Daphnia pulex: one gene and its partners. The main gene of each other region encodes a partner of the protein of the gene in region 2 in a complex. Links are inferred from orthologs where the notes say so. Each region holds a gene or a part of one and is shown on either strand. Other genes may lie near its edges.

The links.
Region 1: vesicle-associated membrane protein 7-like (region 2) and syntaxin-5-like share a complex: the UniProt entries of both Homo sapiens proteins name them as parts of the SNARE complex. The link is inferred for Daphnia pulex from reciprocal best matches to the Homo sapiens genes VAMP7 and STX5.
Region 3: vesicle-associated membrane protein 7-like (region 2) and vesicle transport through interaction with t-SNAREs homolog 1B-like share a complex: the UniProt entries of both Homo sapiens proteins name them as parts of the SNARE complex. The link is inferred for Daphnia pulex from reciprocal best matches to the Homo sapiens genes VAMP7 and VTI1B.
Region 4: vesicle-associated membrane protein 7-like (region 2) and syntaxin-18-like share a complex: the UniProt entries of both Homo sapiens proteins name them as parts of the SNARE complex. The link is inferred for Daphnia pulex from reciprocal best matches to the Homo sapiens genes VAMP7 and STX18.

What each region holds. Positions count from the first base shown.
Region 1 is NC_060017.1:4,339,296-4,346,823, forward strand, and holds syntaxin-5-like, read left to right. Parts: upstream 1-3,510; 5' UTR 3,511-3,664; coding exon 3,665-4,107; intron 4,108-4,173; coding exon 4,174-4,229; intron 4,230-4,298; coding exon 4,299-4,540; intron 4,541-4,627; coding exon 4,628-4,998; intron 4,999-5,066; coding exon 5,067-5,226; 3' UTR 5,227-5,464; downstream 5,465-7,528. Other genes in the region: importin subunit beta-1-like, read left to right, coding at 1-233, 302-482; proteoglycan 4-like, read left to right, coding at 2,063-2,077, 2,368-2,745; leucine-rich PPR motif-containing protein, mitochondrial-like, read left to right, coding at 6,629-6,771, 6,868-7,052, 7,123-7,367, 7,429-7,528. UniProt on the Homo sapiens protein: Mediates endoplasmic reticulum to Golgi transport.
Region 2 is NC_060018.1:6,535,039-6,542,503, reverse strand, and holds vesicle-associated membrane protein 7-like, read right to left. Parts: upstream 3,735-7,465; 5' UTR 3,648-3,734; intron 3,513-3,647; 5' UTR 3,443-3,512; intron 3,374-3,442; 5' UTR 3,367-3,373; coding exon 3,160-3,366; intron 3,095-3,159; coding exon 2,957-3,094; intron 2,895-2,956; coding exon 2,804-2,894; intron 2,717-2,803; coding exon 2,649-2,716; intron 2,579-2,648; coding exon 2,486-2,578; intron 2,337-2,485; coding exon 2,265-2,336; 3' UTR 2,119-2,264; downstream 1-2,118. Other genes in the region: tubulin--tyrosine ligase-like protein 12, read right to left, coding at 56-186, 265-328, 384-451; ribosomal RNA-processing protein 8-like, read left to right, coding at 957-972, 1,054-1,483, 1,550-1,709, 1,771-1,847, 1,911-2,118; uncharacterized protein LOC124188813, read right to left, coding at 4,126-4,592, 4,658-4,750, 4,815-4,857; tumor protein p63-regulated gene 1-like protein, read left to right, coding at 6,713-6,923, 7,001-7,184, 7,406-7,465. UniProt on the Homo sapiens protein: Involved in the targeting and/or fusion of transport vesicles to their target membrane during transport of proteins from the early endosome to the lysosome. Required for heterotypic fusion of late endosomes with lysosomes and homotypic lysosomal fusion.
Region 3 is NC_060018.1:4,116,733-4,123,348, reverse strand, and holds vesicle transport through interaction with t-SNAREs homolog 1B-like, read right to left. Parts: upstream 4,055-6,616; 5' UTR 3,941-4,054; coding exon 3,717-3,940; intron 3,630-3,716; coding exon 3,167-3,629; 3' UTR 3,057-3,166; downstream 1-3,056. Other genes in the region: homer protein homolog 2-like, read right to left, coding at 2,841-2,845; uncharacterized protein LOC124189006, read right to left, coding at 4,218-4,718, 5,007-5,166, 5,334-5,704, 5,867-5,991, 6,159-6,404, 6,612-6,616. UniProt on the Homo sapiens protein: V-SNARE that mediates vesicle transport pathways through interactions with t-SNAREs on the target membrane. These interactions are proposed to mediate aspects of the specificity of vesicle trafficking and to promote fusion of the lipid bilayers.
Region 4 is NC_060027.1:1,470,519-1,478,432, reverse strand, and holds the start of syntaxin-18-like, read left to right. Parts: upstream 1-3,876; 5' UTR 3,877-3,909; intron 3,910-4,619; exon of another isoform or gene 4,620-4,746; intron 4,747-4,821; exon of another isoform or gene 4,822-4,876; coding exon of another isoform or gene 4,877-4,907; intron 4,908-4,968; coding exon of another isoform or gene 4,969-5,180; intron 5,181-5,293; coding exon of another isoform or gene 5,294-5,458; intron 5,459-5,618; coding exon of another isoform or gene 5,619-5,993; intron 5,994-6,105; coding exon of another isoform or gene 6,106-6,224; intron 6,225-6,319; coding exon of another isoform or gene 6,320-6,485; intron 6,486-6,576; coding exon of another isoform or gene 6,577-6,690; intron 6,691-6,770; coding exon of another isoform or gene 6,771-6,938; exon of another isoform or gene 6,939-7,225; intron 7,226-7,914. Other genes in the region: F-box-like/WD repeat-containing protein TBL1XR1, read left to right, coding at 95-208, 289-456; F-box-like/WD repeat-containing protein TBL1X, read left to right, coding at 4,877-4,907, 4,969-5,180, 5,294-5,458, 5,619-5,993, 6,106-6,224, 6,320-6,485, 6,577-6,690, 6,771-6,938. UniProt on the Homo sapiens protein: Syntaxin that may be involved in targeting and fusion of Golgi-derived retrograde transport vesicles with the ER.

The DNA of each region.
Region 1 (7,528 bases), on a different chromosome or scaffold from region 2:
GACCCCGAACACGAGGAGCTTCAAGAGAACATGTTGCAACTCTACACCGCTCTTTTTGTTTTCATCTGTGGTCAAGTGTCGGGACAGTCTAGCAAAAAGAAGAAGAACCAAGAGCTGATTTCTCAACTTTCCCTGATGGAGGATTGCCTCACGGGATTTTCAGAGTTGATGTTGGCCATCGTAGACGAAGATGCCTCTGATGCGATCATAATCGCAAGTGCCGAACTCGTTGGGTATATTATTTAGCTCATTTGAATGTTAACCATTTAATTTAAATGTGCCTTTTGAACATGTTTGACAGCATTATATTCCAGAAATTGAGCTTTGACACTGCCATGAAATACCTGGAATCCAACTTAAACCTCAAGTGGTTGGTCAGTGCTGCAGTACACCTCGCTGATAATTCACGTGAGTCAAAAGGCGAGTTCAGTGAGCCCAAGTTTGCAATGTCAGCACTTGAAGCTTTTAACGCTGTTGAATAATGATTATATTTTCCCCTTATATCATGGAACCTGTAAAAGCAAATATTTATTTATCGTGCCATGAAAAATAAAATGAAGGCCAAATTACCGGTAAATTTCTATCTTCAGGAAACCAAGCTGTTGAATCTAAAATAGTTATTGGTGATCTCAGTTTAGTCATACTTGAAAAAGATTTTTGGTTGTTATCATTAGTACGTCAGATGAAACTGGCAAAGAACTTTGTTTGATATTCTTCCTCTGAAGCTTCCATTTGTTTTGTTCTTGACCCTGGGCCTCTGCCCCTCTGGGCATGGTAGTGGGCGATGGACAAGGAGGAGTTTATGCGTGAGCGTACTCTTACGTGCTCAAATATAAACTTCCATGTAGTTGTTTACGTGGTGACCTCCAAGTCCTCAACCGATAGCTTTGACTTACAAATGAGTTAATCATTCAATCCGGTTTGAGCGTATGTTTGCGTTATTTGTGCTTTGAGGAGAGTTGAATGACCAATTATGTTTTTTTTTTTCGTATGCATTTGAAATGTCACCGTATCGTATACATCAACATGTCGAGAATTTTTGGCTTTGATACAATACAACGTCTTCCTGATTTCACGGTCAAGAATGAACAAGCTGGTTTGCCAAACTAGTTTTGGATACTGCTGCGCTTTTTAATGTAAGCAATGCATATTTTCTAAAATCAAGCACGCACGTTTGCGCAGGTGAATGAACGAAAAATCTTGATTTGCATGACAAGAAGAATCCATCCATCCTACTCAAACTTGGGCCAACTCATCTGTTCAAAAGAAAAGAAAAGGTCAAAAATAAAATAAATAAAAGGTGATGTCATAAAAATAAAAATGATTTGTCTTAAAAAAAACACATCAACTGCTGCTTCAAATTTCAATGGAAAATGTATTAAATGACAAGATACGAGCGGTTCTTGACTCCTCAGAGTGTGTGGATTAGGGGGAATTTCTTAAATTGATTCTTGGTGAGTAATTTTACAATTACCTTTGGCCAAATGTACGGGGAATATTTTTAGAACAAAGTAGAACCAATAGCGATCGAATGAAATTCAGAAAAAAAATTATAAAAAGTTAAAAACTGACTGAAGATTGCTTGAAACTGATTTGAAAATGCTAATTTTCTTTGAGAAAAAAACTGGAATTTGAACATTCATGTTTTTTTTATTTGCTTTTTTTTTTTTTTGCTTTTGCATTTTTGATTCTTCATTGTCTTGTTACCAAATGTTGACAGCCGCGGAGTTGTTAAACCGGAAAAGCTTGTCCGCTAGAAAACGAATGAATAGTCACGCAGCATTGCAGTACAAGAACAATTCTTATGGCAAAGATAGATGATCCTCCTACGTGGTTCGGACCACCGAAGGAAATATCCTTTCTGAACAAGAAGGACTGAAACTATCCGCCAATACAACATAAAAATGTTAGAAGTGAAGAAGGAAGTGCAAAAAAAAAAAAAAAAATGGGCATCCGCGGCTATATTAATGCGTGACTCGGTAATTCCTGATCAAGTAACCAGTAATCTTCGTTCGAGAAAACAACTCCTTTTCATCGGCAGCTAGAAGAAAAATTCAACACAATGAAGTACTTATTGGTATGATCACTGTTACATTTACTTTGTATCTGTTACACCTGTATTATATTTAGACATAGGCCGTAGAATCAATTTAAATGGAATTCATTTGGGATGTAGTGCAGCGATTTATTGAAATAGTATTTCATGTATTCTATTTCCTGAATGATTTTTAAAAATTCGTATTTAAAGCCTTGCCTCTAAGCTACCAAGCGGCCAAAAGCACGGCGAAAGTGATTTTACCAATAACAAATTATGACTGTGTATACTCTTTGATAAATATTTAATGAAAATGCGTTTGATTTCAATAGGTGAAGATTTTTATTGTGGTAGCCATCATTTCGCTGGCTAATTCCCAGCAGAGTGCTTCAAAAACAACGCCCAAAACTGTTAAACAGGTATCGACGACGGCTAAGCCCATGGCTGGTGCTGCTACGACTGTTAAGCGTTCATCGACAACGGTTAAGCGCGCAGGAACAACAGCTAAACCGAGAACAACTACTGTCAAGCGGGCAGGAACAACAGCTAAACCGAGAACCACTACTGTTAGGCGTGGACCTGCACCCACAACTGCCAAGCGCGCATCTACAACACCTAGACCTAGGACCACTACTGTCAAGCGCGCACCTACAACTGCTAAGCGCGCGTCCACTACGGTTAAGCGCACAGCCACGACCAAGAAAGTTTAAATGATTCAATTCCGGCCATCATTTTCTTTGTTGTTTCTTCAATCTTTACATATCTATAGGCCCACAGTTAAACATTCCATCGTTGTTTCGAATATGAGCAGGCCGTCTCTTTCTGAGTAATACGACTCAATTTGCTATTCTTATTTAATTGGCAGTGATATTTAGTAAATATAATATGCAGAAATCGTTTGTTATCAATATTATTTCATTTACGATTTTATTTCCGTACAACCAAATACTATTTGCTTGTGTTTTATAGGGATTTGAAGATTTACGTAAGCTTTGGCAATCAAGCGTAAATCTTGAGACGGTTGTTAAAAATTTTTGGAAAGGAAATAAAATAAAATTAACAGAAATGCTTTACAAATTTATATGTAAAAAAAAATGTTTGGGAACTTCTGTGTTCAACAGTAGAATTACACATGAGTACACTTTTCTAAGTGTGCATTATAATATTGTTTTGGTCTTCCCTCGCTAGCAATGAAAACGGCTTTTCCTAAATAAAAAAAAATAAATTGAGATGAAAACATAATTTTGATTGGTATGACGCGGGAACGATGGAGAACCTAGTACGTAAGTCATACTTCTCTTAGGAGGAATTTGCGACATTTAAAGCAAACCAACATTGTAGAAAGATAAAGTCTATACATAGTAATTAATAATAGTAATTGATAAAGCTGGATAAAGGTTAAAATAAAATGATAAATATTGAACTTTATACAGTAGATAATTAACGTTGGCAACGTTGGGAATTACGGCTAATGTTTGGTATTTTTTCGTCTGCACACACTCTGCAGACAACCCTTAATATGACGTGGCATTCGGTATAGTTTCTTGTCGCAAAATATCTGGCGTTCCCGATTATTTGGATTTCAAAGACGAAAACGGATGAATTTTTCGAGAGATAAATTTTTGACGGATGATTACTCGAAGACGCCGGCAAGGCTCTGAATCGGAGCATCAGCCGCTTGCTGAAACCCAACTGCAAAACCAAGTCCTGAAAGGCTCTTCATCCGTTTTACTGTGGTCGGGAGAAAGTCCTCAACAGCAGCCATCCTTTTTCATTGTTCCGCAGGGTGAAATAGGTGCATTTGTTGCACCAAATTATTCAACAGATAAATTTGTAGATGTTCAAGCAAAAACCAACAGCGCTGACATGATGGCCCTAGCATCTAATTCGAGTTCATCAGTTCTGTCTTCCACCAATGCTTCTTCACGTGATCGGACTGCAGAGTTTCTCTCTGCAGTCAGAAGCTTCCAGAGTAGGCCAGTTAACGGAGTAGTTGGGAGGCCGAGTCAATCACATCCATCTAAGAATACAGATCAACATCAACAGTACTCTGAATTCATGAAAGTGGCAAAGTAAGTTGTCGACTTTTAAGAAAATATTTGCAACTATTGAAAATATTCAAATTTTTTTCTGTACAGAGTTATTAGTAAGGATTTGAGCAACACATATGCAAAACTGGAAAAACTAACTCTATGTAATTAGCTTTGTTTTTAATTTCTACTGTTCAACCAATCATTTCATGGTTTCACATTTATGCTTGCAGTGGCGAAAAAACGAACGCTATTTGATGATCGTCCTCAAGAGATCCAAGAACTGACTTACATCATCCGTGAAGATATCACAAATCTGAACAAACAGATTGCTCATCTGCAAGGATTCATGAAAAAGCAACAGAATCAACAACAAAATACCAAGGCCCATTCAGCAAATGTCGTTGTAGCTCTTCAGTCGAAGCTAGCCAATATGTCTTCTGAATTCAAACAAGTCCTTGAAGTCCGCACTGAGGTACACGCCTTTCCTAGTTTAAAAAATAACTACTAGATTTTATTATCTAGGATATTCAGTAAAATGAATGTTTTGAAAATATTTTAGAATCTTAAAGCCCAGAGAAGCCGTCGAGAACAGTTTTCTGGCTCCGTCCCAGTCGTTTCTGATTTACCGGCTGCAGCCTTGACAGGAGGACCGTTTGGATCCTCTCAAAATGGTTCTAAAGGATCTGTTCTACTCCGTGATGCTGCCTATCAAGCCCATGGAGGAGAAGCAGTAGCTATCGACATGGGTGCCGCTGACAACAGAACCAACAGGAATCAAATTCAGCAGCAAGTGTTTGCCGACGAAACAGAATCTTACCTGCAAAGTCGTTCTGACGCAGTCCAAAGTATAGAATCCACTATCGTGGAGTTGGGCGGAATTTTCCAGCAACTGGCTCTCATGGTTCGCGAACAAGAAGAAATGGTTCAGCGGTAATAATATTAATTATTTTAGAATATGTTATAACAAAGAATTTATGGAAATATTTTTCTTCGTGTAGGATTGACTCGAATGTCGACGATGCCCAACTTAATGTGGAAGCCGCTCATGACGAACTCTTGCGTTACTTTCGTTCCGTCTCTTCTAATAGGTGGCTGATGCTAAAAGTCTTTGGGGTTGTCCTTGTGTTTGTTGTAATATTCGCCATCTTTTTTGCTTGAAAATTATCTAAAGTACGATTTCCAATTCATTTACCAATACAATTTTCGATCCTAATGAATTTAAAACTCACGGTTCGTTTCTCCATTGTGCTTGATTAACGAATGTAGATGTGCCCTCTGACGAAAATGTTGCCCAGCAGACTTCTGGTGATTTTCATGATGAAGTTATAAACTGTGATGTATTAAGAATAAAATTCAATAGTAAAATATCAGAAGAATAAATAAATTCTAATCTATATTTGACATCTTCAATATTATAGCTAGCCAGCTAGTATTTTTTTAAATTGCATTCCAATTCCATTCATTTCCGTCAGCTGTATTTTGAAAGGTTGTTTAGAATCACCCTCTGATCTAAAAAAATACCGCAACAATTTTCCCAAAGTTTAGTACTAGCCCGCAGTTCTGAATCTTCGAGTGTGTGCTCTCTTACTCCGAAGAGGGGCGTCCCTAAACTGCGAAAGCGAAACGCGAAACGCGAAACGCCTAAAATGCGAAACAGCTGTGCGAAACGGACCCAAAAGTTGAGACCCTGTTTCGCATTTTAGTCTTTGGGTCCGTACTAAACTGCGAAATCGGTGTGTGCGAAACGTCGCAGTGTAAACGTCTTGGTAGCAGACGACAATGGACGCCGTCAACAAACAAATTGTTAAGAGTTTCAAATTTTCGAGTTTCGCGCACCTTATGGCTGGTCTATTTGTGTGTTGACCATGAATACGAAATACCTTGAATGCAATATGTAATAGGTGTTTTAATTAGAAGATTGGTATAAAAAAATTAATGGAACTTCTCGTTTCCATACTGTATCAGTATCAATCAGATTAACATTCTTAATTTTAAGGAAAGTTTTAGCTGATTAAATTTTAGCTTGATTTGGAACATGGTAGCTTTGACTTTTAGCTTGATATAAGGCACTCATACTGTTATGGCCGATTCTTTCTTTGTGCACGTACCTACTGGTTGATTTAAATTATTTAATGTAATCCGATGTAATCCCTGGGCCATTACCTAATATTTTATTATTTAAAAATATCACCATAACGTGCTGCTCTATGTCTTTCATTAGTTTAATAATCGTAAAATGCGCATCAAAACATACAGGGGTAGTGGCGAAGAAATCGAATTTGATTGCCCCCCTTCCTCCTTTAATGCCTCATCATAGCAGACAATGAAAAATGGCGGCAATTTCCGTCAATTTGGACCTCTGTGCCTCTGTGGAGAATAGGAAAACTTTTTGTTTCGCAAGATGTTTCGCTCTTTAGTATGCCCTCCGGCATTTGGTCCCGCGAAACGGTCCCAAAATTTTGGTCCGTTTCGCACAGCTTTTCCGCATTTTAGGCGTTTCGCGTTTCGCGTTTCGCTTTCGCAGTTTAGGGACGCCCTCCGAAGAGTGGAAAACTGAAAAATGGCTTCAATGTTACGTTCGGGAAAGTTTTTTCGGTTATTCTCTAATTTAACAAGAAGTTTTGATTTAAATAATGGTGGAAGGAGTAATAATGAATTACTGCTTGGTGCACGTAGAGGAGAATGGGAAACTAATATTCAGAGGTTTGTTGTTTTTCAACTTATTATCGTGTCCGTAAAACACCGGTACCCACGTGACTCGATAATGTTAAATACCGCTAAATTGTATTTTATTTCTAGATCCTTTTCTGCTGCCCAGCTACCATTAAAGAACTTAAATGATAATACTGTTCAGCAACCTCCGATTTCCACAATAAATGATAGTGTAGACAAGGCCATTGAGAAAGCTGAGTTGGATGCAAAAAAATCTGGTCGCATCACAAAAGATGATATTCTTGATATCATTCAAAAGATTAAAAAACAAAGTATTATCTTGTTTCAGCACCTTTAAAACTGACAAAATGTTTAGTGCTTGATTTATGTTTGTTTATCCAGAAACTGCTTCAACTACTCAGAGCTTGCTGCTCATACGGTGTTGTGGAAATCTTGTGCCTGAAGAACCACCTATTTCAAGAACAAAATTAGTTGAAGAAGTATGGAAAATGTTTGAGGGATTTGGTGTTCCACTTGACATTAGCCACTATAATGCTTTGCTCAGAGTATATTTAGAGAATGAGCATTCATTTGATCCCATGAAGTTTATCCACCTTTTGGAAGGGAAGGAAATTCAACCTAATAGAGTAATTTTACCTCAATCAAAATTACTATTGCTTTTGTAATCCTAATTTTTTTATTTTCTAGGTGACTTATCAGAGACTGTTGTCAGCATATTGTCAAAAAGGAGATATTGATGGTGCATCACAAATTTTGGAAATAATGAAAAGTAAAGATCTCCCTATTG
Region 2 (7,465 bases):
TTACATTAAAATTCTGTTATATACATGATACAGACATTTACACGAAGAACATTACTGCTTTGGATCTGCTGCAACAACACCTCCTGAACATGTAACTAGAACTTTCCATTTGTTGAAAGCATTACTCACAACGTTATCATCTTCATCAATTTGTGCTAAGCTAAAGCACTCCCCAGCATCAAAAATCTAAAAATTAAAAAGGAATTGAATTAATTATCATAACCAAATTTGTGTAAATTCTTCAGGAAGTTGTCAGAAACTTACGCTATTCTTTAGCTTCCAATACAAGGTCTCCCAATAAATTTCAGGAACACCAGAGGACTTTAACCTTAAGACACTTGTATGTGATACATGAACATAAATAATAATAGTAATGATTTTACTGTGCTTGATGGAGAGCTATAAAACTTTTCAGTCCTTCCAAGCCATCTGCAAGTTCCAAAGAGGACATTTCCCTTCAAAGTTTAAATTCAATTAAAAACACATTTATTAGTAAGGATATTTTCGATAGCCATGTCATATACCTTTAATGATTAACCACTTTACGTATTTCAGATAATACGAAACACTTTTCAGTTGATTCGCAATTTCGCATATGTCAAAAACAACTTGAATTATTTCTTTCCACGTTGAGAAAGCAGACTGTCGATCGTCTGCTAGGCAGACACCGTTGTCACTTAATGCGTCGAGCAAAAATAAAAAATGCAATTCCAATCCAAAATTCCAACTCCAACAAACCCTAAAAAAGAAAAAAGAAAACTATCTCTCGATAGAATTATATTTATTTTGTCATTTTGTTTTCAAAATTGAAAAAAAAAAACAGAAAAATTTATTGTAAAAGAAATATGACGCACGCGCATATTTTGTAACACCTGCACATGGTTTGTGTCTTGTCTGTTTTGGTCTGGTCGTGGTTTTCAAGTTTTATACATTTCCCAATTCGCATAATTTAAAAAATGGAAAGCAAGACAGGTATCCTTAAATGATTATTATTTTATCCTGACACAAAAATTGTATCAATTTTCTTCTTCCCATTACTTCTAAAATTTTCAGCGTCGATTTCGGGATCAAAAAAGATTTCACTAAAACCCAAAAATGTGAGATCTTCAGCTTATGTTAAACGATTAAAGGTTGCACTAACCAAACAGAAGGTAAATTCTAATTCTGCTCACCAAAGAACACCACTTTCAGCTCCTCAAAGAAAAACTAAAGAGAGAGCATCGATTGCTAGTGATGCAAGACAAAGATTGGAATCTGCACGGTTCAGGTATTTTTTGTTGTTGTTGACAATATTCCAGCCTATCATAACATTTAATTTCAGGTATCTGAATGAAGAGCTGTATACCAAAAGTAGTAGTGAAGCATGGGAACTTTTCCAAGAAGACCCCCAATCATTTGATATATACCACAAGGGGTTTAAGAACCAGGTTTTGAAATGGCCAGTCAACCCATTGGATATCATCATCACTGATCTTATGAAAGGGTAAAATAAAACAAGCCATGTGCTAAAAAATTGCTTTAATTTAACAAATGAAAATTTTTTTTTTAGTCCTAGAAACTGGGTGATAGCTGATTTTGGTTGTGGTGAAGCTCAGATAGCAAACACCATTCCTAATAAAGTTCACTCTTTTGACCTTGTAGCAGCAAATGACAAAGTTACTGCTTGTGACATGGCTTCTGTTCCTTTGGCAACCAAAGCTGTTGATGTGGTATTTCAGCATTATTTATGCATTATAAATTTTGATCAAACAACAGATATTGCTTGTTCAGGTGGTCTTCTGCTTATCTCTCATGGGTTCCAACATACATGACTTTTTAAAGGAAGCTAATAGAGTCCTTAAAATTGGGTAAATGCTACATACAGATTTTAAAAAATAATAATCTTTATTGATGTAATTTTTAAATTACAGTGGTACTTTGTGTGTAGCTGAAGTTGAAAGCAGATGTAGCAATATTAATGATTTCTTGAAAACAATTGAACGTTTTGGATTCCAACTCAAAGAAAATAACGTTCAAAAATACTTTTTTCTCGCAAAGTTTAGCAAGATTCAAAACATGAGTCCCAAAGCAACTATGCCAAGAATATATTTGAAACCTTGTCTGTACAAAAAACGATGAATAGAAAAGTACACATAAATGTTGAACATCATAACAAAGAAACCGACTCATTATATGTTACGAATGTACAGAAACGTATTTGGTTGAAATAGAATGTTTGTTTTAAAAACTGAAAGAAAAATTAGATCACGCGCAGAATTTGTGCATCAACTATTTTGAATGCATGAATGCCAATTCAATCCTCCACATGCTATGCTAACGACAAAATACACAATAACCTACGGAAAAATAGATATTTTCAATTAGATTTCATTTAAAATATTATTCCGAATTTTAGAATGTAGTTCAGGTCGATAAATGGTAAAAAAAAAAAAATTACGAATGAAATAAAGATAGTTATTTAAACTGTAAAACAATTATAACATACCAAAATCACGGCAGCAGTAATTGCTGTTATTTTTATGTTTTTCCAGAACAAGGAATTAGCCAAATTTCGACTTGATTTCCGGAAAGTAACAGCCTAAAAACAATTTAAAATAACTTACTTGGTAAACCAAAGTAAAATTTAAAAATATCTAAAATATACATACTGACGCGCTGAGGCTTTCGGTTTTATTAACCAGTAATTCTAATCTTTCGCCACGTGCCGCTAAGGAATCTAATAATGAGCAAAATTAAATTAAATGGTATTATGTTACTACTGCTGGAGGTTGCAAATTCTTGCTGGCTCGTATTTACACTTTACCTATATTTTTCACCATTACATCTTTCAAGTCGTCCAATTCTCCTTGAACTTGAGAAACGGTATCGATATCTCGAGATTCAGAAAAGTGTTTCTGGTTTTAAAAAAAAAATCTCAGTAATGTCTGAAATAATTGAGAAGAATTTCACGACTTACCATTAGCCCTGCCAAAATTTTCGAAAACTCCGTGTTCATAGCATATGGTAGAGCAGAGTATGCATGGGCTCCAAAAGTATTTACAAATTTCTTTTTAACTTCATTCAAAAATAAAAATGCTCTTGAACGTTCAAATTCCTAAAATAAAGGTTTCTATTTATATATCATCTTCTACAATTGCAGACAATAAAAAAAAGATTTACATCATCTGAGATGCAAAGATAAATTATTCTGTCTTGCAAAATATAGTGGAACAAAAATGATCCATGAGAGTAGGTCATTTTTGAATCATCAAGTCCAATTTGAGCTAGAACTTGCTCTGTGATCTCAGAAAAGTTTCCAGTACAATTATTGGCAAATCTAGCCAAAACAGTGTTTCCTCTACTAACAACACTATATAACAGCGGCATTTTCCTTCTAAAAAATTAACATATGAGATTATGTAATAAAGACTAAATATTTTTTATGGGTCAACTAATCTCATACCAACAAAACTTTCTCGACGATTCAGACGATCTTCAATCCCATCAATAACTTGACGAACGTGTATAAAAAACTGCAGAGAAACTCACGATGGATTACAGAACTTATGAAGGAGCAGATATTATGACACTCAAAAGACGTTGCTATAGTTTTGGATAGTTGTAGGACGAATATAATTAATTTTTGTAAGTATTAAGGATTAAACAACCTATCTTAAATTATCAAATGACAATCCACTCCAGTCAATGACTCAATGTTGACTATTGTCGGAACCACGTTATAGAGTCTATGGTTTGCTCACTCACTAGAGCAGAGCAATAGATACCTGGTCGGTTCTCGGCCGTGTTGGCTTCCCTATCCCGGTTTCAGGGTAAACGTGGTCCGATTTGGAAAAATTGATGAGCGCCTCTAGTGAGTGTGTCAGGTACTACGTGAAGCCAGCCAATCAGGAAGGGTCTATGAAAAACTCATTGACCAATCACAGCTTACTTTTCTACAAGAAGTGAACAAAATAAAAAGGTAGAAGTATCCAACTGTCAAACCTCTAGGTCTTTTCTAAGTGTCCCAACATTCTTACATTTTATTGTTTGGTTGTGTAAATTGTTTATTCTTTGTAAGTGTCCAAACATTCTTACATTTTATTGTTTGGTTGTGTAAATTGTTTATTGTTCCGTTGACATAATACACTACTTCTTGTTTTGAAAATGTACACTTTTCACATTATAATTTTCATTTGGTAGTCGATCCATCGAAATGCAAAAAATCGTTTGTTTAATTTGATCAAAATACCATGTCCAATTCTTTGGTACCATTGATGAAGTTACTAGTGACTGAAATGTCACAAAATTAGACTTGAAATTAGTAGAGCTTGCTTCCATAGAAGGTGATGTAACTGTCGAATCATCAATGACAACAGCAACATTTTCGTTCATTACATCAGGAAGTGGATCAAAAATTGCTTCTTCAGCAGCCTGGTGAGTGTCCATTGATTCTTGAATAGTAGAGGTAGCTTCCATAGAAGGTGATGCAACTGTCGTATCTTCCATGACAACAGCAAGATTTTCCTTGATTGAATCTGGAAGTGGATCAAAAATTGCTTCTTCAGCAGCCTGGGGAATGTTGATTGATTCTTTAATAATTTCCATGGAGGGTGCTATCAGATAAAATTTAAAGCAATTGCTCTTATAAATAAAATGTAACGAGAACTATTATCAATACCTGTACTGTCAAATTTTTTTCTCTTAGACGTAGTAGGTATTTTGTCTACTTTTGGTCGTTTCCTTACTGATGCATTGCTAGCATTTGTTTCCACTACAATACATATTTAAGAATTGCGTTATTTGATATTAAACAAAATAAACATATTTAAAAATACCATTAAGGTTATTTCTCCATTTGAAACCATCAACATTTTGCATTGCTTGTCGACTAGGTGTATCTAAAATGAAAATGGTTCAGTTTCTGTGCTTTACAGATTATACAGGAAATGTAATATCAATACCATTTATCAGAAAATGTTTGGGAATTGCTCCAGCATTACGATTCCTACGTTTGAAAGGATGGAACACGTTCAAAATTTAAATCCCTGATTTGAAGTCACTTTCGTCAAAATGACGGGAGCAAATACGTGAGGTGCTCGTCAAATAACTACATGGAATTAGTTCTCGCCATTTAGATAATGAAGTTTTAGGAATTGCAAACAGGGTAACCTCGTTTTCTTTTTGATTTCCTTTGAAATATGTTGATTTACAACCAGGAACAGCACACCTGCCAACCATTTTTACAGAAATTATGGTTAGGCTTCATTCACGTAATACACGATAATGGCCGCCGTATTCACATATTACACAAAAATGGCCGCCGAAAGTATTATTTGAAAGTCAACGTCTTATCACTAGATGGCGCTGTTTCATTTTTACCACTTCACAACTTCTGACAAGCTCCGCCCTAAAATGTCTGAAAATCGGGGATACGTTTACCCTAAAACCGGGATAGGGAAGCCAACACGGCCGAGAACCGACCAGGTATCTATTGCTCTGACTAGAGTCACTACAGAAAACCCAAAGAGCTCGGCAGTCGGCACCCCAGCGGCCAAACCATAGCAACTTTCAAACAGCGCCTCTCCTCTAAAGTTTTCTCTACTCTAGTCTACTCTATTAAAACTTTATTGAACTTGCTTTTCAAAACCTTTGGGCCTTCTAGAATTATGGAAAAGATGGAGGGAAAAATATATATTTTTAAACTGATAATTAATCCTAGCACACGTTGCTTATTGGCTTTAATACCGGCTTACCCTGTTCCACTTAATCCTAACCCGCCTAACCTATGAGCCCTCCTCCCCAAAAAATCCCAATATTTTGGCTCCTCCCATAAATTTACAAATTTTAAATCTCTCATAACGGAGGCCAAGATATTTGAAAAAATATTGGCATACAATAATAAACAACACTATTAACTTAAGTACCGGAAAGTTTTTAGCTACACCTTTCAATATTAGAGTAAAGGGAAATGGGGGCTTAAAATGTCCCGCTTAATCCCACCCTCCCCTACTGAGTTGAAATGAAAGAATATTGGAATCCTGCCGAAAATTATAACTTAAGAAAAGTATTGATCGTCTAAAACTTTTTTTTTTTTCGATGTTTGCATTGCGCAAGTCGATGCGCATGGCTGATAGCCAAGATGTTTGTAACATTGCGCGATCCCACTGATACATTTACTGAGTGAAGGTCTAACTTTCGAGTGTCTTGAGCCAACTTATCAGCTCCTCTTAATTAACCGAATCGTATTTGGTAAGATCTGGATTTTCTCAATTTTATCAAAACAATTCATGTGCAATAAATTCAAATTCAATGGAAAAATCAAGAAAAAAAATCAAGAAGAACGAGAGGTCATAGATACGAGGAACAGGAAGCTCTTATTAATTGGAAAATATTGAGTGTCGACTTCTTAAATTAAAAATTGGTTCCAATACTTCGAGAGGCTCACCGCTCAAATTTGCGTAATTTTTGTGTAATTTGTTTAGTTTGCTCAAATTACGGGCGTGCGTCTAGATAGACTTAAAATTTGAGTTTTTTTGGCAAGGTGTACGAAGATTTTTTTTTTTTTTGTGGTGAAACCCCTCGAAAGTCTTCACTTTTATTTACTTAAGGCAAATAAAAACCTACAGCAGATTGCCGAAAATTTTTGTACATAACAGATAACACTAACATTCGGATATCTCTTCCACTTCCAAAATTAAAACATCAAATTTTTCGATTGTTTGTTCAGAAAATCATGCTTAGTGAAGCAGAAACTACACCAACCTTGGATGAGCCAAATCTACCGGAATTTTGCGGAGCAACGTTATCTTTAAACAATGCTTCAGGCACTATTTCAAACCAAAAAATCGTAAAGCAAAACCTTTTTTCAAACAACGAAGCAGATCAAATGAAAGAAAGAAAGAAAATAGCTGAACTCCAACCCTGCGGTCCTTCATCAAACTGCGGTACAATTCTATAAGCTTTTTTAAAAATATTATGATGGGCTGACTTCTGACAAAGCTATTGTTTTACTATACCGTAGAAAATGTTCCTTTATCTCCAACTGTTCTCAGCGCTGAAGCTCGTGGTGGTGACGGTCAAATCATCTCACAAGGCTACTTCAGTTCAAGAAATTACATGTTCGCGATCGAAAATTGCAAGAGAATCTTGACTCGAGGAGAACCTGAGAACCATGGGGTTTTCGTAGGAAGTTGGTTGCTAACTATGTAAGACTTTTAACTAAATGTTGTCAAGTATTTTCACTAGCGCTCAAAAATAATTGCAATATTCCAGTACGCGACGAAACACACACGACATTGATTTTGTTTCTTTTTTCGTACCGTAGCTTATTTGAAAAAACCGCGCTTCTTTCGTTTTGAAAAAAAACTTCACTTTCTGATCTGTTTTGTTTCATCTTTTGATGTTTGTTTTCTATTGAGGACTAAAGGGTCGATCACTGGGACAACGAAAAAGAACGACTGATTTTGCTTTATTCTCGAACCTTGTT
Region 3 (6,616 bases), about 2.4 Mb from region 2:
ACATTGCCGGAATATAAAAGAGGTAGTCGCACGACATGGCAACGAACAAATACAAGAACGACGCCATTCGACTCCCCGGCTGTCTGTCCACAATGTAAAATGACGCTAGACGAAATAGAAGCGAAGAAAGAAAAATTCAACGTTATCCGTTATAATAATAATAATAAAAAAAGTGTCGTCATTCCTTCAAGGGGCTAGGACGACAGGCTCAACGTATACAATATAAATCGGATTGGGACCTAATACGATTTCTTGTTTCCCGCCAGTCCCTCACTATTTTCTCTCTGTGTAACTCGCAGATTCAAACGTCATCGAGACCAACTGTGGACATCAATCTGGCTTTCTACTTTCCTATCTTTTGGGGCTTAGTTTCGACCGTGTTCAATACACTCTTGTCAGGGGAAGTATGCAGCAGCTGTTGGTCTGACTTCCAGGAGGAGTTCCTCGGTGTGTTATCGAATCCATACGACGGCGATTGTTCGATAGACCATTGGGTGCGAGATCCATCGATACGAGATGAAGTCTAACAGGATTGAGCCTGATCGCAATCGAGTAGATAGGATCAAAGAAGCCGAATTCCAGTTGAACGATCAAGACACCATTACCTATCCATTCATGTAATGGGTTTACAGTTCACAGAACACAATAGAGTAAAAAAGAAAAAAAGAACAGGAGATCGTGCAAATAACCAAGGAAAATTCGTTGAACTAAAACAACTTTTTCTTCTGTTTGGTAATGTTGAGCTTCTATAGCTCTAGTTCATGTAGGATATCTGTAAATATTACTAGGTGACTTGTGAGGATAAATAGAGCACTGAGTAATAAAGTCATTAGCCGCTCGAAAATCCCGAGAGAGTCAGCGAGAGAAGAAACACGGAGAGAACGTCGCCTTGGTGAACGCAGCCCAATCATGGCAGGCACTCATTAGCCATCCATGGCAACCTCATAAAATCTTAGGATTAACAATAAGATTTCGGGAACTATAGATCGAATGGCGAGGACCTAAAGGCTTAAAGAGACACGTCTGATTGAGGTATCATCGAGATTCATCCTTAAGATTAGACAAGGGTTGTCGACGTGATTCCATCTTTTCACTGGCGCCTTGCAAATAGCTCGCCCTCTCCAAAAGAGACAGACACGACATGGCATCATATCCGGGAACTGCTTTCTTGGCCCTGACACAGGCGCACAACCAAGATGCAATCCCCCCCCCCCCCTAAACCTCGGCAACCGCTTCCTACGCCTTAAATATTTGAGCAAGCTGAAAGAATATTGAACTTAAGCCACAGTTTTTACGAATTCAACTAGTTCCCGACTGCGGAACAGATTGAAAAAATAAAGTTCCAATGGGATAGTCTCCGGGTCGAAATCCTCACACAAATTCGGGCGATTAGAGTTCAATGATAAGTGTACGGGTTATTCAGTCACGAAAAGAGTGTCGAAACGAAATTGCCGAATCGACAGATTTGTCGATACGGCATGCACAGTCACGCGTGCTAAATGGTGATGGAGTGTGCCACAACCGAGGAGGATGCCAAGTTACAGAAAGAAAAAAGGAAATGAAACATTAAAAGTTTCCGGCTAGATCTAGCAATCCCGTCATTGCGACTCTGGCACGCACACGTAAACACGGGCAAGTATACAAGCGATTTTTTTTCCCCATTGCAAACACACACACATACACAAAAACGGAAATAAACAAATACCCCCATCCCCTCGCAAACCAACTCTTATGGAAGATTGAATAAATATACTTTGATGCCATTCATTTTTGATGAGATGAGCCTGTTTTCAACCGATTGTTATCCGAAGGATGATTTTAGTTATTTTTTTTTCCCCTGCCTTTTTTTAAATTAATTTTTACTTTATTTTAAAGTAAAGGTGGGGCTTCTCAGACGGGTTTATATCTAGCGTCCAACCTAGGAGACGCCGGCGATAGAAGCCTCCAAAAGAAGCAGTGAAATGAAATGAAACTCGACACGCGATATCTTACGTTGTAGTGAGCAAACGAAAAAAAAGGAGAATACTGTAGGTACGGATGAAAGTTAACATGACGAGAATAGCATTAACTAATAAATACCATGAAAAATAAGGGAAAGGGTTCGAAGTAGCCATCTAGGAATTAGACACAGGACACGCAGCATCGATTTCTTACAACTGAATACACAAAGTCCACAAATTTCTATTTCCCATTATCATTGTTGAATGTTTGTGCTTTTGGAATTGTCTGAATGGGGCTTGCATGTTTCAAAGTAAATCAATATTGTGTGACTAAAATCCCACTAACAGTGGGCCTAGCATCCTAGCAATATCAAGAGTTTTCTGGCTGGATGAAATATTACTTTGATGTATCACCTAAAGCAACAATCTATTGCTTGAGTTGAGAATAACATTTCGCAACAATCCTTCTGGGCTGTAGCTAGAGGCACAAGTCATTCAGCTTCGAAGTTTAGCTCAATACAACTTTAGAATTTAGTACAGGTTGAAAACTTGGATGCAGCTTAGCTTATTAGTTTGAAAATATGAATGCTATATTTACAGCCAAGATATTAATAAAATCTTTTTTAACATTTGAATGACGGGACACTTCAGTGAGTCTGTGACTTCAATATTGATTTACACTTTAGCTTAATGGTATTTATACACCCTAATGGAAAATTCTTATTTGTCTAATTCCATAGTCCAAAATACAAATATTTGAAACATATACCCTTTTAATTACAGTAAATTTGAATTCAGACTTGACAGTGGTGCTCAGCATCCAGCTGTTGCTACGTGGATATATGGTACGAATCGATTTTTCATTTAAGACTATACAGAATCAATAAATGCACAACTTACCCCATTTTAACTGTCGATGTCGAAGCACGAACAACTTAGAAAAATCTCAGATTTCGTTGGCAAACGCAAAAACTTTAAATACACGTATAGCACGCCATGACACAGGAAGAGCTTCTGTCAAATGGAACTGAAAGCCAGAGGTTGGGTTCGTAACTCCGTCTGCGTACGAAGGCCGCTAGGAAATCCTTTGCGCACGCAAGGGGAAAAAAATACTGGTCGCTATGCGCATGATTATATTTTTGTATCGGCTTTTACACAAATTCAAGGCACTAACACTATTAGTTACATTTTTGATGAGGTATGTTAAGAATTTGAGGACAATAATTTCAAGAAAAAAATTTATAATAAACTAAACCTGTCAAAATGCATATCTCCAACAGAATGATGACAATTAGGACAAGCTTATTAGTCATAGCAACACGAGACATTGACTTAAGGATTCTTCTACTTCTTCCCAGCTCTGCATCCGTTTCAGTCAATCTATCTCTTGTACGAACAAGCACTTCTCTTTGTTGACTTAATTCTTGAATAACTCCAGTGCCAATCTCTTCACTTTCTAAAGCAACCTGAGTAGTTCTGTAGAGGCTCTGTGATGTTCTTTCCAGAACTGCAGTTCCTTGGCGAACAGTTGTTTGAAGAGCATTATCAATGCCCCGGTTTTGGCTAAATGCAGCAGTGGATTGGTTTTCCAACAGTTTTCCTCTTGATGAGGCCAGAGACATTTCTGATTGCTTGGAAGAATTGATCAATAGAGCAAGTTTGGAACAGGTGTCCTGATGTCTTCGTACTCTGAAGTTGGATGATAAAAAAAACATTAGTTGAAATTTTACTACATGTATTGTTTGCTGTGTAAACTTAAGACATTCACATTTTTACCTGCCAATCATGTCCATCCTAAAAGAGCCAGGAGCTGCTCTAGCTTCAGCTTCCATTTCAAATATTGCTTGTTTAGCTTCATCTAGTCCTCTTTCGACATCGGCAATAACTTGCTTTTTTTCTTCGCCAAAACATTGTTCTAGCTTACCGGAACACTTTCTTTGCAGAATTTCGAACAAAACTTGTACATCTTCATCCAGAGTTTCAAATTTCTCTGAGCTCATTTCTGTTTCTTGTAGCACAATTCTGAACCTATTTGAGCACTACATACGATACCTTGCTATCAGGACGAAGACAAGGAATGTATTGTAGACTTGACGTATAAAACACCATCTGACAAAACATTGAAGACAGCGCCACAAACGGCGAGAATTAGCATTTCCATGACATTTACATTTAATAGCTAATTATTAAGATAAATTAAACACATTTCAGCCTGCAGAAGGTTTATTCAGATGTCACAGAAAAAACGTCATACAGGCACAGGTTCAATGATGTCACTCATTCCTTCTTATTTTTCTTCCCCTTTGCTTTCTTGGCTTTCGATCCCTTATCAGCAGCTGATTCGGGAACAGAAGCTTCTTCTAATGGGATAGCTTCAACGGGAGCAGCAAGAACCTTTTCCAACGGCTTCACTTCCGGGACAGCAATCGGTGTTGGGGCAGGAACGACTGGTGGCGATTTTCCTTTTACAGGAGTAGCGACTGGTGTTACCACCTTAACTACAGGTTCAGGGATGGTAACGATTGGCGGAGATGGTTCCTTAGCTGGAGCTAGGGCAGTCTTCACCTCAACAACGGACGCGGGTGTTACATCCATCGGTTCTACTTGCAAATCCTTTGCAGCCGTCTTGGATTTCTTGCTTTTCTTTGTTTCTGGTGGTGTTGGCTTAGGGGTTTCAACAGGAGGAGGTTGAGTTGGTTTGACATCTTGGACCGGTGCTTGAACGGGCGCTTCTTCTTTCGGCTTTTCAACAGGTAAATTTGGTACGGGTACTACTGACTGTAGAATGGATATACAAATTAGAACTTGGACTATTTTCCAAATCAGATTCTCACTACGATGGACAACTCACCAAAAACATCTGTTGATTAGCTCAATAAACCATGCTGTGTGCGCTCACTCGCAGGCTAGGCAGCTACCTTCTTGGTAGCACTCGCCTGTACATGTTAAACAATGTGGCATGCATTAAGTTACGTTCACATGCGGTAATACAATTTTAACAATTCAAACAGAAATCAAACGAAAAACTATCTAAGACATACAAACATTCACAGAAAACAAAATTACCTCGCGCTTCTTCTCGAGCAAAGCAGTCTTGCTCTTCTTCCGGGCCTCAGCAACAGCAGCGGCAGACTTCTTAATCACGGCGGAGTACGGGTTCAACTTCATCAATGCTCTCATGTTGGTAAGAGGATTGCGCTTAACAGATGCACGACGGATCATCTTCCTGTAATTTAAATTGTATCGATTAGTCATCTTTGCACCAGACAGTATCACTTGAATGATAAACTGCGTTCAGATTAATTTGCTAATCACAAAGATTCATAACCCAATGCTCTAAATGTGGTTTTCATCATTAATTAATCAATAATAAAGATTAAAAAGAAAGCTTGCCTTGGTCGTCTGATAACCTTCTGGATTTCATCAGACTTCAACAAACGAGACAAATCTGTTCCGGTCATGATGGGCTGAGGCAAGTTGTAGTTGCTCTTCAGCTTAGACTTCTGACGCCAAGTACCGTAGAGGGCGTTCAAGCGTTGGAAAGCAGACTCGGTCCAGATGCAGAAACGGCCAACATGACCACCAGGAGCAAGCTTCATGAGGTTCAGTTTGTTTACTGAAATCATAGAAACTCCGGGGATGTTACGGAAAGCCTTGGTCAAACCCTGATCTCTGCCATAGATGACCAGTGGACCCAATTTGCTGGTACGGCGACGGTTGCGCATCTTACCCTTACCTGCGCGGAAACGCCTGGTCTTGTAAACCTGTAAGAAATCAGATTAATTAGACGGTGTTCACACATAAAATCATTCATGACTCAGATTTTGTTCAGAGCTCTAAGGTGAAATCATTTACTCATAAACACAGACCAAGAAGCAACTCATCATTTTCCCGTGATAATTATACATAAATATCTAGAAACAAACCTTCTGGACATCAGTCCATGCGCGAAGACGGCGCAACAACACGACGGCCTGTTTGGTTTTTTTGTATTCTTGAACCTTGTCCGACACAACCAAAGGCATCTCCGGGACATCATTGATCAAGTGACCTGAATGTAAAAACATTTTAGTTCTAATTCAATATGACCTTATTTACTACTATCATTGTATGGATCAGGGACTCATGGTATGACTTCATGCTTGTCAGAAACACAGGAAACACATATTCATCATGCTAGTATGGAACCGTGCAATGATGATCTTGGCTCATATTTACCTTTGGACATCACCAAAGACGGAATACCCGAAGCAGCGACGGCCGAGCACAATGCAAAACGTTTCTGGTTAACGTTGATCTTGCGATGCCAACGGCGCCAGATCTTGGTGGGGGCAAACATACGTCCACCACGACACATGTTACCATAGGCACCCTGACCGGAGCGATGGGTACCACCTCCTCGGACACGGGGAATACGAGCCACAGCACGACCAGTACCCCATGATTCAGCACTTGTCTGATGACCTGTAATAGGAAAGAAGAAGATTAACAATCACACCATTACATGTGTGTATGAAGTTTGTCCGGTTGCCCAACCCCTCACTTTAAGAAAACAAAGCGAGAAAGGCCTCAGGGACTCGCTTTAGTGTTGCACACTGCACAAGAAGAGTCTGACGTACAATTACTCCTACATTTCAATGCTGTGTGCCATATAATTGGCATACAAGTTACCTGCT
Region 4 (7,914 bases), on a different chromosome or scaffold from region 2:
AAGCTTAATAACGAAATCGATCAAACGCGAAACATGCACTAGCCGTTCAAAAATTTTGCGCCATTTTTGACAGAATTTTTCATACGATTTTCAGAGTTGGAAGAGCATATACATTATACCCTCATCCGAGTTCATGTATCCATACATGATGACGTGGGATGCGGCCAGTTCCAAGTTAGGAATTTCAGAGCGGAAAGGCCTGAGACAGGTAAAAGAAATAAACCAATTTCCAACAAACTTATTTTCTACATAAAATGTTTTCCAATTCTGTTCAAATGATTCAAACAGTTCAAAGTGATTGAATACGTCGATGCTGAAAAATGCTGTGCCGGTTGCAAGAAAACTTCTCAAAATCTGAAGCTATGCGCCCGCTGCAACTCAATCTTGTACTGTAGCAAGGAATGCCAATGTTCACACTGGCCCCAACACAAACTTGTTTGCAATAAACATGAATAAGTTTGGCCGAATTTCACAAGGAGAAGATTGGATCCGATCAAGAAAATTTCAGTGTGGACTTGGTAAATGTCATAAGTGGGTTGTAATACATTCAAACTTAGAAACTCCAGGACCATCTCCCCCGCCTATTTAAACATGATTTTGCGTAGTTAGGTTGGTATGAGATATTACGTTTCCTCCTAACAAGTAGTAAAACGCCGGTTAGACGTGACGCCTTTAGTTGAATTTATATTTGGCAGTATTTCTTATAACCAAATTTACTGAACGATGAAAGAAAAAGAAAACCGTAACGACATAACACAATTTGAGTTTAACTGCTGAGAGTAACTCAAGAGGGAATTTTAATTAGCGACTAAAGACCTTGGGTGTTATGATGCAGTAAGGAGAATAAGTTCGAAGTACACAATGGTGTTCTGTCAAATCCAAATAGAATTCATGAAAGGAACGATTGCATGATTAATGAAGTAAAATGTGCTCATAACAATAAATATCTTTAAAAGTGTATCCTGGAATAACAAAAATGTTGGAGTTCAAATTTTGAAAACGAGCCCGCCTTTTTTCAACAATACTTTCGCGAAGATTGGTATTAGAATGACAGATAAGAAGATGCTACGTATGCTACGAGGTTGGATGCTACGTCTGATTTCAACCTGCTGAGAGTAACTTGAGAGAGGGAAGTGCATGACTGTAAAATATGGAACTGAACCGTAAAATCGACCGAACCGTTGGCAGCCTTGTCAGTATAACAATGCAATCGCATTCGTCATAAAATCTAGAATCCGATCTGCCATCGTGCTCAAGGAGACGCAGGGCCTGATCAAGTGACGGAAACTCAGCAACAATCAAGAATTTGGCAATTCCCAAACAAGTTATGGCCGAATTTCAACAAACAGCACTCCGGTCTCAAACAAGAGCAAGAGAACCAGACTGATCAACAAACGAGGATTAGCGCCCAGTGCGCTACAACCAGTGTCATATTCGTTATTCAATTCAAATCAAATTAAAAATCAGAAAAGAGTCTGGAATAGCGGACGTCAATTCAGAGCATGTGGTAATCGAACAAGGAATCCAAAAATACGGGAAAAAAATTCAAAAGAGCAAACTTCGATCAAACGGACGAGTGAAAGAGAGAGAAAAACGGACCTACCCTATCTCTATTTCTACCTTCATTGCTAATCACACAACAATAAATTTTGTGATTCAAAATGGACGAAAACATATTTGGAGAAGCGGAAAGATTCTTCAATGGTTCTCTCTAAAAAAAAACTCAACTGATTTCATCTTGCCAACAAATTGCAAAAAAAAGCAGTAATATTGTGAACGAATAAAAGAAAGAACTCCTCAAAAAGAAGTTTATCGGGAAAACTAAAATAGTTCTGAAAAAACCTGACAAAAAGGACTTCAACGGAAGAGTCAAAATGAAATTCCGTAAATAACTTTATCGTGTTCAGCCGGCCCAATAGCCAAAAGAACAAGGAAAAGAGATTTCAAACAAAGATAGGAAAAGCTTTTCCTGTTTTAAAATGCCTGTCATTAAGAAACGCAATTACTTCAAAAACAGTATTCGAAAACTTTTCGAATACTCTTTCTTTTCAACGAAAAGATTCTCTATAGTTGCAACACAACAAGAAAATAGATGTTTAAATGTGGGTGAGGGTGACTTACATTAAAAGCGAATCCGGTTAAGTATTGGGGTCTAGAAGGTAATCCATCCATCCAACGACTGGAGTGACGAATGCCAAGAATTTCGTCATTCCGGTGATGACGCCTGGATGAAGTTCTGTCAAAATAAAATAATAGTTTAATAAGCATGTTTCAAAACTTCCTTGAGAGATTAACATAATAAACCGAATACCCATTTAAGTCTGGGTTGAATTGGATTCGCTCATTTGTAGCTATGATTAGGAAACGGCTGATATTAAACGAAATAGAACTAAACGATACGTCAACTAGCAAACTATTCAAGAAACGTTTGGTGAGTGCCCGACTCTCACTCGTAAGACCCATACAGTTTGTCAGAAGGAGATTTTGGATATAATGTATCGAGTATTGTCTGGAACGAAGAATTAAAACTGTTGGTCACCAGTTCAGACGATATTTGGATCAAGGTGTGTCCCAGAATTTAAATGGTTATTTAGAATTGAATGTTTAACTCCTTCACTTTCAAATAATTGAACGCAGAATTGGTAATTGGAAAGAGAGGATCCCAATATCCCATACGCATGATAGAATCCAGTTCTTCTTGTTGCGAATAAATTTGGAGTCCAATTCCCATCCAGCGTAATCGTGCAAAGAGCGAAGGAAAAACCTTTTTTAGTCGGGTCAGATTTCATTCATCTAATATCCCAGTGTCCCAAATCGATTATTTAATTAAGCGTAAGAGCTCAATCGCCTTTTTCTGATCTTTTTTCAGAGGGTTAGATAACGGATCAATTTTTGTTTGGTCGCCAACGGAAAAGGAAATACAACCAAGTTTGTTTTTCGATTGACATTCCCACGATTTGCATAAAATCTTATTTTCGCCAAACAGACGCTTTCTGGCATCGACCGGCTATGAAGGAAAATTGGTTATCTGGTCCACCAAGGTAAATTTGAAGGTAAAACGAGTGAAAGACTGGATGTCTTAAATTTCTCGCAAGGTGTTTAGAACTGGGAACAGATCATGACACCTTTTACCACCATCAGGGTTTCACCACCGGTGCCCAAGCCCAAAACTCTCAAACTAAACCTGCTCAAATAAAACAAACAACAAAAGTAATATCCACCAACAACGTAAAAATAATAAAATAAACTTTCACGAGGAAGCAATGTAGACTCACCATGAAAAGAAACCTCATGGGATGCATATTCTGATGTCTGTCGAAAAAAGATATAAACTGACTGGCACTGCATGGTGCAAAACCCTCCTACAATCCTTTCGTGCCATAGTTGATATTGTCATTTAGTGAAACAGTTCACAAATAGTTACCTTTCATCAAGTACCCAACACGTTACAATTCTAGAATAAGTCAGGCGCCATATTTTTCGTACAAATACTGCAGACAAAGGGATGTTTACCTCATCAGCATGTGTGTCACTTCCAGCCTGGTGCAGATTCAATTCACCACCGAAAATGTTGGTCACAGATTTTGCAAAGGAATCACAATGAACAGTACAATCTTTAAAGTAATATCACGCTGCTCAACACAAATGAAGACGATGGATGCACACTTTCGAACATTGTTCACTGTTCAGTGAACTTGTGAAGTAATGGCAGTAATGGTGTGCTCTCGAAGACGAATAGCTCGTCGTTCATGGGAATGGCGCCAAAGAAAAAAATACATTGCAACGAACTTGGCAAACGACTGGTAGATGGCGGACTAAGTTCCACAACAAACTGACGACGAGGACGTTTGAAAAATAGAACGGCTGTTGAGTGTTGGCAGATTTTTGCTCAAAAATCATTGTCAAACGGTAAGTTAAACAAATAAATTATAAAGAATATACATTACTTATTCAAATCAAAATATTTGTTGTTGGAAACACCGATCATGATGGATATCACGTCCCTGTTCAAGGTCTCCATCAAGACGGTCCGGACACGCAATAAAGCTAGCTGAAAACTGAAGACCCAAATTGCATTTTCCCACGACCATCCAAACATTTTTCAAAATTCCAAACGAAAGCCAAAGAGATTGTCTCAAATGTGGCCAAGTTGAAAGAGTTTTAGACAGCTAGAATTGAAAAGCAATCACGCTCGTGATGTGAGTGAACGGATTAGATAAACAAAATACCGTGATATCGGCAAAAGAGATGCCTATCAATGGACTCTGAGAAAGTTGTTATAATGTATCATTGGTTGTTGAAAGATAATTGAAATCAATTAAGTTGTCGGGAAAATGAAAAGACACGAGTTTTTCAAGTTTACTTTCTTTTGGGGTTATTTCAGTGGGTAAAAAAAATATAGTGGGTGTGGAGAGGAAAGTCGTATGGTGTGAGGTAAGGGGAGTGAGAAAAGATTTTTGTCAAAGGATTAGTCAAAATGCAGTTGCGTATCGAAAATTACAGCTATTTTAGCAACCTCGAGACAAGTTTGAAAAACAAAAAAGATTCCAGACAGAAAAAGTCAAGGTAAATTTTCCTACGACCCCGTTCAAATCCACCCCCTTCTTACCCCCTTGAACGTTTCTCTTTTGTTTTTCAGTTTTACTTTTCCAGTTCCATCTTCTTTAATTGCCACTTCAGTTTCAACATTCTTCGAGGCATCGTGCTGCCAGTCTCTTTAAATATTACTCATCTATCTGCGCATCGGTGAAATTTTTAAGATTCTAAACTCTATGGATATTCCAGCTTTAACGCTGTAAAATAATGTTTCGTTCATTTTAGTTCGCTACTTCTAAACGTGGTTTTACACTTCCGTTCGTCACTAAGGAGAGAGAAAATGACAGATGCTGTAAACTCACCAGGGAAAGGTAAGACAAATATTTATAAACTTGTCCATCGTTTTTAATCAATGTCTGATGTCCCATCCAGGTTTTTTCAAACCAGTTGAGTTCTCAATTACGAGTAAACTAGATGTGAGAAGTTCCAGTTTCCACCCCATCGATCCTGTTCTGGCGTGCGGCTTAGTTCAAGGAGGATTAGTTTTCCTTCGGGGAACTAATCACTCCACACCGTTTGAGAATTGGGAGATTGAACCCGTATACAGCCGATACGAAAGGACAATTTTATCCGTCCAATGGAACGTAAGTCTGTGAATCAAATAATTGTGTCCGTGTTTCACCCCATCAAAATCGTGTGCTAAATGTTACAGTGTTAATCCTAAGTTTCTATTTTTGTTTTTCTGTTTGGCGTAAAGGTCAATGGAACTAAAGTAGCTGCTGGCTCCGATAATGGGACTGTCATTATTGTGTCTTATCCAGGCTGTGGCAAACAAACATTCCGAAGAAATGGACGATCGAATTTCCCGTTAATTTTTTGGCATCCATTTAACCGGGACATGTTGGCTAGTTATAACAGTGCGGTAAGTGAAAAAAAAAAAACAATATTCATGTGCTAACTTAGTAGTTTGTTTAAGTAATGCGGGAAGGGAGAATTTCAAATTAAAAGTCGGTGTACACGAGAAACATTCACATTAATTTATTGTTCACCAGAAATTTTAAGTTTTAAAATTGTATCTCAAGTTGGACACAAACGAGGTGATGATTGCCAATTCAGCAGCTGAAAACCTCCTCACCCACACCATCAAATCAAAATGGAACTGTCAGACCCTGGCCTGGAACTCGCACAATCAACTCGCCTTTGGTTACGACGATGGAACGTTTGAAATTCACGAAATAGAATTGAATAACAGTCAAATGAAAAGCCGAATGGTCCAGAAAATCCGTCACGATCTGGGTGATCATGACAAAGCTGTTCACCATTTTTCGCTTATGAATTCCAGGGACAATTTTTCGCTTATGAACTACCAGGGCCAAACACGAACTTTCGTATCGAGTATCGCCATTAACAAAGAATTTGAACTTTTGGCTTCAGGTGGAACAGACTTTCGAGTCAAGGTATTAGAACTACATACGTTATATTTATTGGATTTTAATAGTCGATAGACAATTATTATTGTCTAAGTTTTTAAATTTAAATGAGTCAATATTTAAACAATTTTAATTGCAGATTTGGTCATTGGGCAGTAAAGATCCTATTCTTGTGTTGGATGTCGATTCCAATTGCAGAAATTTGGTATGGAATTCTGGCATCAAAGAAGAGATGACGACAAAAACTTTTATTGCATGGTTAGACTGCCTAGATTATTTTAATCAAGTTTTAAAAGATGCAAGTTTAAATTGACATTCTAATAACCACAGCTTTTTAATTGGCTTTTATTCAGCGGATTAGAAAGTGGAAACGTTGTAATTTGGTATCCATTTGATCATGAAATTCAGACACGAAAACTTACAGGACATGATCAGATCCATCAATTAATACTTTCACCTGACGGACGCTATCTCGCAACAACAGACTATTACAAGAAAGTGATTATTTGGTCTACAAAGGTAAAATATTTTTGATAGAAATTCTTAGTTGGATCAAACGCGACTCACGTACATTCTTTTCCCGCAATTTCTTTTTTAAATGAATTTTCAGAGTTGGAAGAGCATATACATTATACCCTCATCAGAGTATATGTATCCATACATGATGACATGGGACGCGGCCAGTTGCAAGCTAGCAATTTCAGAGAGAACAGGACAGAGACAGGTAAAATAATGCGTTTCATTCATCCAAATTTCAACAAATTAATGTTAATAAATAACTTCTCATCTCTGTGATTCAAACAGTTTAAAGTGATTGAATACTTCGTTGCCGAAAACTGCTGTGCTGGCTGCAAGAAAATGTCTCAAAATCTAAAGCGTTGCGCTCGCTGCAATTCAATCTTCTATTGTAGCAAGGATTGTCAGCGTTCACACTGGCCCCAACACAAACTTGTTTGCAATCAAAATGAATAAGTTTTGATCGAATTTTCCAAGGCAAAAGATTGAATGTAATCAACAAATTCTTCTGTTAGCAGTCCCCCTCTATGGCATGTATCTGAATTAGGAATACGAAAAATAATCCCCCAACTTCTTTCTCATTTATTTTTTGTTTTCTGTTCAATCAATAGAGCATCAGCAATCAAGGAAACAACAATTGTTAATGCTCTCTTGCAGTGTTGCTCATATATCTTGGAATATGAAAGGTTAAGTTTGAAATCGGTGAAATTTTGTTAATTCTAAATACAAAAGTTATTACGTCATTTGTCATGTAACTCAGCAATTAACAAATTCTTTCGAGATTGAAAACCCAGAGTATACATCTTCAACACGTGTTTGTACATTTTTATTCGTTTCGACAGCGACAAAATGGCAGAAACTTAAATTTTATTATCCAGGAAAAGGCTAGAATACCAACAAAATAATAATAATTTTATATTTTCAAACAATTAAGTTATGAACCATAGGAAATAATAAATAAAAAGTAAATTTCGAATATAATTTTTTTTTAATATTCAAGATTTGAACCGCTATCTGGATATTGATAAATTTTGTTACGTCCATATTTTTTGGGGTTATTAGGGAGAAAATCACGAGCAACAATAATTTTGTTAATAAATAAAAAATTATGAATTTCTGACTTTATATCAGATGAAAATTGTGTAAGACGATGACGAATCCTACTAGCTTTCGCTCCTTCGCAGCGTCGAGAATCTACTTCACGACGGTTCCATACACGATCTAAGTCATACCGGGTTTCTAAATCCGGGGCCGTCACTCTGTAACGTGCCACGTGACGGGTAAAGAGCATATGCAAATACTCATTTCCTCATATCTCCTTATGCGCTTGTATACACCGTATGGTACGCTTTCGACTGTTCGTGAAGGCAAGTGATCACTTCGTCACTATCAATTCGCCAGACGCGCTAACCACTACACCATGCGTGTCCAA